Callithrix jacchus: one gene and its partner. The protein of the gene in region 1 binds, or shares a complex with, the protein of each later gene. Links are inferred from orthologs where the notes say so. Each region holds a gene or a part of one and is shown in the gene's direction. Other genes may lie near its edges.

Region 1 (4,362 bases):
CTTGTGATCCACCTGCCTCAGCCTCCCAAAGTGCTGGGATTATGGGCATGAGCCACCATGCCTGGCATCTGGTAAGTTTTTTTTAACATATAAAATAGCTCTATTCCAGAGCCTTTAAATATTACTTCTTACAGATTTAAAATTTGCTAACTTCATTGACACTGAATTTTAATACTCTGAATTAAAATGTAATGCCATATTTAAATCCACATATCAGTAACACACTAAATGTAAATGGTCTAAACACAGTTAAAAGGCAGAAATTAACAGATCAAAAAAGCAAGATTAGCTATGCTGTCTGTAAGAAACCCACTTTAAGGAAATAGACACACCTAGGTTTAAAGAATGAAAGAAGGTAAACTATACTGACATGAATCAAAAGAAAGCTGGAGTGACTATGTTAAAATAGATGTGGAGGCAAAGAATATTACTAGGGTTAAAGGGGATTATTTTGTATCGTTAAGGGGATCCATTTTTTAAGAAGACATAACAATCATAAATGTTTATTTGCCTAGAAGAATTTCAAGAAGTGAAACAAAACCCAGAAGAACTCAAAGAAGTCCACAAATTTGCAGTCATAGAGCTTTCAGTACCTCTCTCAATTAATATAACAAGTAGACAGAAATCATGATAACTTGATATAACACTATTGACCAACTTAATGGACATTTATAAAACATTTTATCTATCTATATCTATATATTATGTATCTGTTTGAGACAGTCTCACTCATCACCCAGTCTGGAGTGCAGTGGTGCAGTCTCTGCTCACTGCAACCTCTCCTCCCGAGATAAGTGATTCTCCTGCCTCAGCCTCCTGAATAGCTGAGATTACAGCCACCTGCCACCATGCCCAGCTAATTTTTTGTATTTTTAGTAGAGACGGGCTTTCACCACATTGGTCAGGTTGGTCTCGAACTCCTGACTTCAGGTTATCCACCTGCCTTGGCCTCCCAAAGTGTTGGGATTACAGGTGTGAGCCACTGTGCCTGGCCTAAAACATTATATGTAACGATAGCAGAATACATATCCTTTTCAAGTGTATATTACCAAGATAGACCGTGTTCTGGGCCATAAAACAAGTCTCAGCCTGGAACAGTGGCTCACACCTGTAATCCCAATACTTTGGGAGGTCGAGGCATGTGGATCACTTGAGGCCAGCAGTTTGAGACCAGCCTGGTCAATATGATGAAACCCCTGAATTAGCTGGGTGTGGTGTCACACACCTATAATTCCAGCTACTTGGGAAACTGAGGCAGGAGAATCGCTTGAACCTGGGAGGCAGACGTTGCAGTGAGCCGAGATTGCACCACTGAACTCCAGCCGGGTGACAGAGTGAGACGGTGTCTCAAAAAGAAAAATCTCTATCATAAAAGGATTTACGCCATACAAAGTATGTTCTCTGCAATGGAACTAGAAATCACAAACAGAAAGGTAACTGGAAAAATCTGCAGCTTCTTTAAAACTAACACATTTGCAAATAACCTGTAAGTCAAAGAAGAAATAAAAAGAATTTGTATTTTGAGCTGAATAGAAATAAAACACATGAAAAATCTGTGAGATGCAGCAAAAGAAATACTTAGAGGGAAATTGATAGCATGAAATACCTATATTATTAGAAAAGAAAAGTTTCAAATCAGTGATCTAAGCTTCCACCTTAAGAAACTAGTAAAAGATGAAATTAAATACAAAGCAAACAGAAGAATTAGAATATATAAGGGCAGAAATCAGTGAAATAGAAAATAGGTAATAAAGTCAGTGAAACCAAAACCTGTTTTTAAAAATCAGATCACTAAATATAATGCTATAACTGCTTATTGAACTCTTTAAGTGTGGACAAATATTTTTGTCAAGATCTGATGTGGTATTTGTCAAGATCTGATGTGTGTCTGTACACACATACACAACAGTAGTGGCCATTAACATTTGAGCTAATACAGTTTGGTTAAGGAAGCAGAAGGATTCAGCATCATAGAGATGTAACAAAGGTCACATAAAAGTCTTTCATGGAGGAACTTATGAGTGATTTATTCTTCTCCCTTTAATAAAATTATCATTTTAAGCTTTATTAGACATGGAGTTTCAATCATTAACTTTAGATTTAGTTTAAAACATCAAGTATACTTTAAGGAAAACAACTATCTCTTTACAGGCTGCAAACTACTTAGACATCAAAGGTTTGCTTGATGTTACATGCAAGACTGTTGCCAATATGATCAAGGGGAAAACTCCTGAGGAGATTCGCAAGACCTTCAATATCAAAAATGACTTTACTGAAGAGGAGGAAGCCCAGGTAGGTGGCACACAGTTTTGTCTCTGATCGCATGCTCTTAAAAAGGGACTAAAGCCTGTAATACACCAGAAAAGAGGTGACTGTATCAAGTAGTCTTGATACTTGAGGGATACTAGGTAGTTTCTGTGTCTTAAACATACTCTTACTGTACTGTCTGTATGAGTCTAAACACTTACATGATACTGCATTTTTTTTTTTGAGATGGAGTTTTGCTCTTATTACCCAGGCTGAAGTGCAATGGCGCGATCTCGGCTTACCGCAACCTCCGCCTCATAGGTTCAGACAATTCTCCTGCCTCAGCCTCCTGAGTAGCTGGGATTACAGGCTCGTGCGACCATGCCCAGCTAATTTTTGTATTTGTAGTAGAGACAGGGTTTCACCATGTTGACCAGGATGGTCTCCATCTCTTGACCTCGTGATACACCCACCTCGGCCTCCCAAACTGCTGGGATTACAGGCGTGAGTCACTGCGCCCGGCCGATACTGCATTTTTAAGCATAAGAACAATTAGTTTTCAACAAGAGGAGCTCTTTCTTGTAAATGTGTTAACAGTTACTAGTTCTGGCATCTGCAGCTTTTTGTATAGACCATACATATCTGACTTCAGAAAAGCAGGCCCTAGAGAAGTGTATGCTAGGGCACTTGAGAGCAACTTAATGAGGGGAGGAAATGAAAAAATAGATCAGAATGATTTTGTTGACATGACTACAGACTGAAATTGTGTCAGTTAACTAACTGAATTTGCTCTGTCAACTTTAGTAAACTGCCCATTGTCTTTATTTTGTTCAGAATTTCAGCAGGGCAGAATAAAAACCTTGGGAGGCAAAAAAAGGAAATCCAGAAGTGTAGTCTCAGTCTGGTGTTCTGATTTTCCATCTATTCTACTGACTCACTGGCTATCGATGAATCAGTAGGTAGTATATTTAAGTCTTAGGAAACACTACTAAAGTTAAGGTACTTCCTTATATCCATCTCTTTTAGGTACGCAAAGAGAACCAGTGGTGTGAAGAGAAGTGAAATGTTGTGCCTGACACTGTAACACTGTAAGGATCGTTCCAAGTACTAGTTGCACTGCTCTGTTTATAATTGTTAATATTAGACAAACAGTAGACAAATGCAGCAGTAAGTAAATTGTATTAGCAGAATATTGTCCTCATTGCATGTGTAGTTTGAGTACAGATTCCAAATCTATGGCTGAGTTTCTTCTAATATGATTGAAAGTTTCTTTTTTCTTTGCTCTGAATAAAACTGAACTGTGGGTTCTCTATAAGTGGCATTTTGGGCTTTCCCTCTTTTTTGTAAAGCAGTGTCTGCCTAGTTTATTGTCCAGTTAACTTTAGTGACCTTTTAAAAGTTGGCATTGTAAATAAAACAACCTGCAAAAAAGTTATCTGGAATAGAATTAACAAAATATTATCTTTATTCATGAGTTGGAAACTGCAAAAGGCTTCTTGAAGTAAATGTTCTGAGTGGAGTTACTAGGATGTCTTTCAGCCTCCTGCAGGCAAGGAGTACCACCATATTGATTAGCCTGTATTTAGCAGGGCTCCTCCCTTCATTGCATCTGAGGACTTGTCTTCTTTTTCTTTAATTTTATTTTTAATCCTCTTAGCTTTAAATATATTGCCTAGAGACTCAGTTACTACACAGTTTGTGGTTTTTTGGGAGAAATGTAACTGGACAGTTTGTTAGCTTTTCAATTAAAGACACTTAACCTATGTGGGATGTCATCTTTTTATAATCAGTGTTCCCATGTGGGGAAAATTATTCACACTACTTGCATGTAAAAATAATTTAACTTTTAACATTAAAATATGTGGTAAAATTCAGAAAACATCCATCATGAATGCAAGATACTTTCAATAAAAAGTAAGTTATATTGTAGATAGTTAAGTTTGCTTTTGTGGACTTAAATGTGTCTCTTCACTTAAATGGGTTGAATTTGTATATATTTGTTTAGCTTGAAAAGAGTTTATATTTTAGCTCACTGGAGGCTGCTGACATAAGCATAACTTCTGTCTCTTCTAATTGTTATTTATATGCTTAACTGGAGCCAGTAGTTTAATTCTT
Region 2 (4,362 bases), on another chromosome or scaffold:
AAGAATGTGGACTCGGGAGTCAAACTTAAAATCTTCACGTTCAAAATTATTATTTGCCTGCAAAGTGTTTATAGAATAATTCTGTACAGAGTAATGTGCCATTAATCCAAAATTATTTTATAATGCATCTTGTTTGACCTTTGGTTTATGCTGGTGTATCATGTTTCATTCATTAATCCCCCTTTTTATAAGTAGTATTTTCTCTGCTCTATTTCAGATTTTCTTTTCTGTATTAACATAGAACTTAGAGCCAGCTACCTTCCTGATAGGAAATTTTCTCAACTAATTTTCAAGGTGTATAATAGGGAGAGGGCAGGGGAGAAGCACTCCTGGAGACACCAAACAATTAATTACATCGTAATGGAGCTATAGAGGGAGGAGTGGATGACTGGCCCTGAGAAAACGTGATTTCTCTGGTGCCAGGATTACACTCAGAGGCATTTCTGTCTATCTCCACTTTGCAAGGCACGGTGCCAGTGAGAACAGCAGTTAGTACACCCATAGTGGGGTTTACTAGCTTCCACACCGTGTTTGGTGGGTTCTTAACTTCAGGATGAGGAATTAAATTTTTTACCCAGCAGGAAGTGATTGCCATTTACTGATTTTTTTTGTAGCAAAGATCTAGCTTGGGATATGAGTATTCCAGAGATGTGCTGTCATAAGGAAGGAGATACTAACAAATGCTGCTCACTGGAATCAGGGAAGGCAGTTAAGTACATGTATGTATGTACACAGCCAGGAACACACCTGTGAAAGTCAGTTTCATGCCTTAGACTTGATAGCACAGTGCTCTTAGGCATTTCTATTTATCTTCTTCCCTAGCTGCCACTGGACACACCTGTGATCCTTTTGCTTTCTGTTGAAATGAACTGAATTGCTCATTTCAAAGAATAGTTGCACTGATCAGCAGCAGCCTGGGTGACTGAGCAGCCACCACATCTTACCCCACACAAATAAAGACCTAGAAGAAGTGATCTCCATTACAGGCATTACTGTTGTCTGCAATGCAGGGGTCCACTGACATAGTTAAAAAAAAAGACTATGGGGTATGTGCTAGTTCAAAGGTAATAGTTACCATTACCAACAAAATTTCCAAAAGATGAGGCCAGTGAATCTATGCAGTAGTCTTAATAGACCAGTAGATGAATTCTGATTATACATATTCCATTTGTCTACTCATAATATTCCTAAAGGTTTGGTACTCCAATGTTCTACACTGGAAATAATGTTTTACCCAAAAGCAAATCAATGTTAGGCAGATTCCTTAGATACCAGAAGGCTGAAATCAAGATTACTTTTGGACCTCCCCAGGCAGCTTTGGAGAGTATATAGGATGGTAACTGTGAAAACACTTTGAAAATGTATGAAGCTCCTTACATATATGTTGGCTGGGCATGGTAGCTCATGCCTGTAATCCCAGCACTTTGGGAGGCCAAGCGGGCGGATCATTTGAGGCCTGGAGTTTAAGACCAGCCTGACCAACGTGGTGAAACCCCATCTCTACTGAAATACAAAAATTAGCCGGGCTTGGTAGTAAACGCCTGTAATTGCAGCTACCAGGAGGCTGAGGCAGGAGAATTGCTTGAACCCAGGAGGTGGAGGTTGCAGTGAGTCAACATCACACTGCTGCACTGCAGCCTGGGCAACAGAGCAAGACTCTGTCTCAAAAAATAAATAAATAAGTAAATATTTAATGTCATGATTTTCATTGGGAAATATTTTTTTTTTTTTTTTTTAGGGGACAGTATTTATTCAAAAACAAACCTCCTGATGGGAATACTCCTCCCAACTCTTTTTATAGAGCACTTTATCCTAAAATTATACAAGACATTGAGGTAAGAATCTGTGTATTTTGGGGTATTTTCCAAATGGTACATCTTTCTTCAGTTGCAGTATGGTTACACCAAGCCCATTAAGGTTTATTGACGTGAGTTGAAAATCAACCTCTTGGCTGGCGTGGTGGCTCACGCCTGTAATCCCGGCACTTTGGGAGGTCAAGGCAGGTGGATCACCTAAAGTCAGGAGTTCGAGACCAGCCAGGCTAACATGATGAGACGCCATCTCTACTAAAAATACAAAAACTAGCCAGGCATGGTGGCACACATCTGTAACCCCAGCTACTCAGAAGGCTGAGGTAGGAGAATTGATTGAACCTGGGAGGCAGATGTTGCAGTGAGCCAAGATCCTGCCACTGCACTTCAGCTTGAATGACAGAGTGAGACTTTGTCTCAGAAAAAAACAGAAAGAAAAAGAAAATCAATTTCTTTATAGTTAAGTAGGGTAGGTAAAATAAATTGCTAGGCAAAATTTTAAAGCTTTAAAAAATTGTTTACTAATAGATGAAAGAGAATTAAAGAGATTGATCCCTTCATATAATAGCAGTGTGACTGGGAAACTAGTACCCATAAGCTCATATTTAAATATCTTCTGAATTCAGCCGCCATAGAAGTTCATCGGTAGTGATGGCCATCGCATATGTAAGAGCACTGAACATATAACCTCACATAGTTCATAGCTTTTCTTCTCTTGATGAGTCATCTCTTCCCACCAGATTTATTATTTAATTGAACAAATGATATGCAGGAGGGGGTTCTAGAAAAAATCTTTAATTACCTTGCAAAAGGAAAAATACTTTATAAATTTAGATAGTAGCTTTTTTAATAGATATTTTTTAGTTTTCCCTAAGCGATGTATCTCCCACAGAGTAAAGCATTAAGTCATTGATTGCCATTAAAGCCCAAAAAGGGTTTGGTTTTAGGCGTTTCCTAATTACTGCCTCTTTACCTTTCTGTCTTCTCAGACAATAGAATCTAATTGGAGATGTGGAAGACATAGTTTACAGAGAATCCACTGCCGAAGTGAAACAAGCAAAGGAGTTTACTGTTTACAGTATGATGATCAGAAAATAGTAAGCGGCCTTCGAGACAACACAATCAAGGTGAGGTCTGTTCAGTTGTAGGAAGGTAGCTGAGGGAGCAAGGGTGACCACATTCATAACACAGTCCACAGCATAAACTCTAAGCATTATTTCTAGAAAGTAAGTGAAGATTTTAGATTGTTTCCAGTCCCAAAGCCAAAATCATTTCCTTAAAGGACAGACATCTGCTTCCCCCTAGAATACTATACAAATAGGAAGTCTCTAGGGTTAAATTCTCTTCTTGAAATGAACTGAATGGGCTATTACTCTTTTGGCCCTCACATAATTATAGGCTACTCTGTTCTCTAATTAAAAGGATAAAGGTTTGTATTAGTACTGAAGCCGTATATGTATGTATGTATGTGTGTGTGTGCGCGCATGCGCGCGCGCTTAGCTATACTTATAGGAAAGAATGCATTCCACACTACTATGGGCTTTGATTATTTTGGGAGATCAAATACATAATAGGACCAACAAGTCTCCACAGCACCCCATCATGACATTGATCAAAAGGATCTTATTTGCCATCCTAGATCTGGGATAAAAACACATTGGAATGCAAGCGAATTCTCACAGGCCATACAGGTTCTGTCCTGTGTCTCCAGTATGATGAAAGAGTGATCATAACCGGATCATCGGATTCCACAGTCAGGTAGAAAATTTCAAATGCTCTTTTGAACTTTGAAACATCAGCTCTGCTCTGTTCTTTGTCATAGATAGTAATTTTGTATATATCGGCACAGTTCTGAAACTAAAGAAGAATATACCACCGAGTCCCCATCATTTGTGTCAGTCTAGAACTAGAAAACTTGATTTAGGAATGCTTGAGGTAAGTTAACATTTTCGCACGTTTAAGAAACTACACATTCTATTTTAATTTGGAGAATCATCTATCACAGAAACTTTTCTTATCCTTATGGTAAGGCTTGCATTATAAAAACCACCTCACAGGGGAATGACATGAATGTAATGAAGCCGTCCTTTTAGGTGGTTGTAACTGTAGTGCAGGTCTGTATTATCTCCTTTGAAACATGTACAGGTGAGCTGTGCTCTTTGTCAGCTCCTCCCCTGCCGTCCCTGCAGTTTTTAATTGCGAGCTTCACTCAGGGAGGGGCCCTCAATTTCCAGAGGCGTTAGTGATTTGATGACACAGCCATTATACTGCTGGAGTCCAGGATAGCTTGAGTTCTGGGTACCAGCAGCACTGCTGGGAACTTCTGTTAGGAATTTTGCCTTAAGCTGAAGTATTTAGCAAACATAATGCATCAAAAGTAACTTTAAAAAAAAATAAACCTAGGAAAAAAAGCAGTTAACTGCATTGTTCGATACTCTGAAGTTAAATGTTTACCATTCCAAGTTATCCTCTGTGAATAGAAAAGACTGTTTGTGGTTTTTGTCTTTTGACTTAAAGGCATAGCAAACTCGGTCCGTGTAATTATTGACAT

Evidence for each region.
Region 2: the proteins of SKP1 (region 1) and BTRC are in contact, whole or in part, in a crystal structure (PDB 1P22), measured with the Homo sapiens proteins. The link is inferred for Callithrix jacchus from reciprocal best matches to the Homo sapiens genes SKP1 and BTRC. Residues at the interface, in NP_733779.1 of Homo sapiens: Asn51, Ala53, Ile54, Val95, Asp96, Gln97, Gly98, Thr99, Leu100, Phe101, Ile104, Leu105, Asn108, Leu116, Asp117, Cys120, Lys121, Val123, Ala124, Ile127, Lys128, Gly129, Pro132, Ile135, Arg136, Lys137, Thr138, Phe139, Asn140, Ile141; in NP_378663.1 of Homo sapiens: Met175, Leu176, Gln177, Arg178, Asp179, Phe180, Ala183, Leu184, Arg187, Leu189, His191, Ile192, Ile196, Leu197, Tyr199, Leu200, Asp201, Ser204, Cys206, Ala207, Ala208, Glu209, Leu210, Val211, Cys212, Lys213, Glu214, Trp215, Tyr216, Arg269.

What each region holds. Positions count from the first base shown.
Region 1 is NC_133503.1:74,176,433-74,180,794, forward strand, and holds part of SKP1 (S-phase kinase-associated protein 1), read left to right. Parts: intron 1-2,151; coding exon 2,152-2,292; intron 2,293-3,273; coding exon 3,274-3,309; 3' UTR 3,310-3,335; exon of another isoform or gene 3,336-4,176; intron 4,177-4,362. UniProt on the Homo sapiens protein: Essential component of the SCF (SKP1-CUL1-F-box protein) ubiquitin ligase complex, which mediates the ubiquitination of proteins involved in cell cycle progression, signal transduction and transcription.
Region 2 is NC_133513.1:94,482,701-94,487,062, forward strand, and holds part of BTRC (F-box/WD repeat-containing protein 1A), read left to right. Parts: intron 1-1,738; coding exon 1,739-1,835; intron 1,836-2,800; coding exon 2,801-2,938; intron 2,939-3,450; coding exon 3,451-3,569; intron 3,570-4,362. UniProt on the Homo sapiens protein: Substrate recognition component of a SCF (SKP1-CUL1-F-box protein) E3 ubiquitin-protein ligase complex which mediates the ubiquitination and subsequent proteasomal degradation of target proteins. Recognizes and binds to phosphorylated target proteins.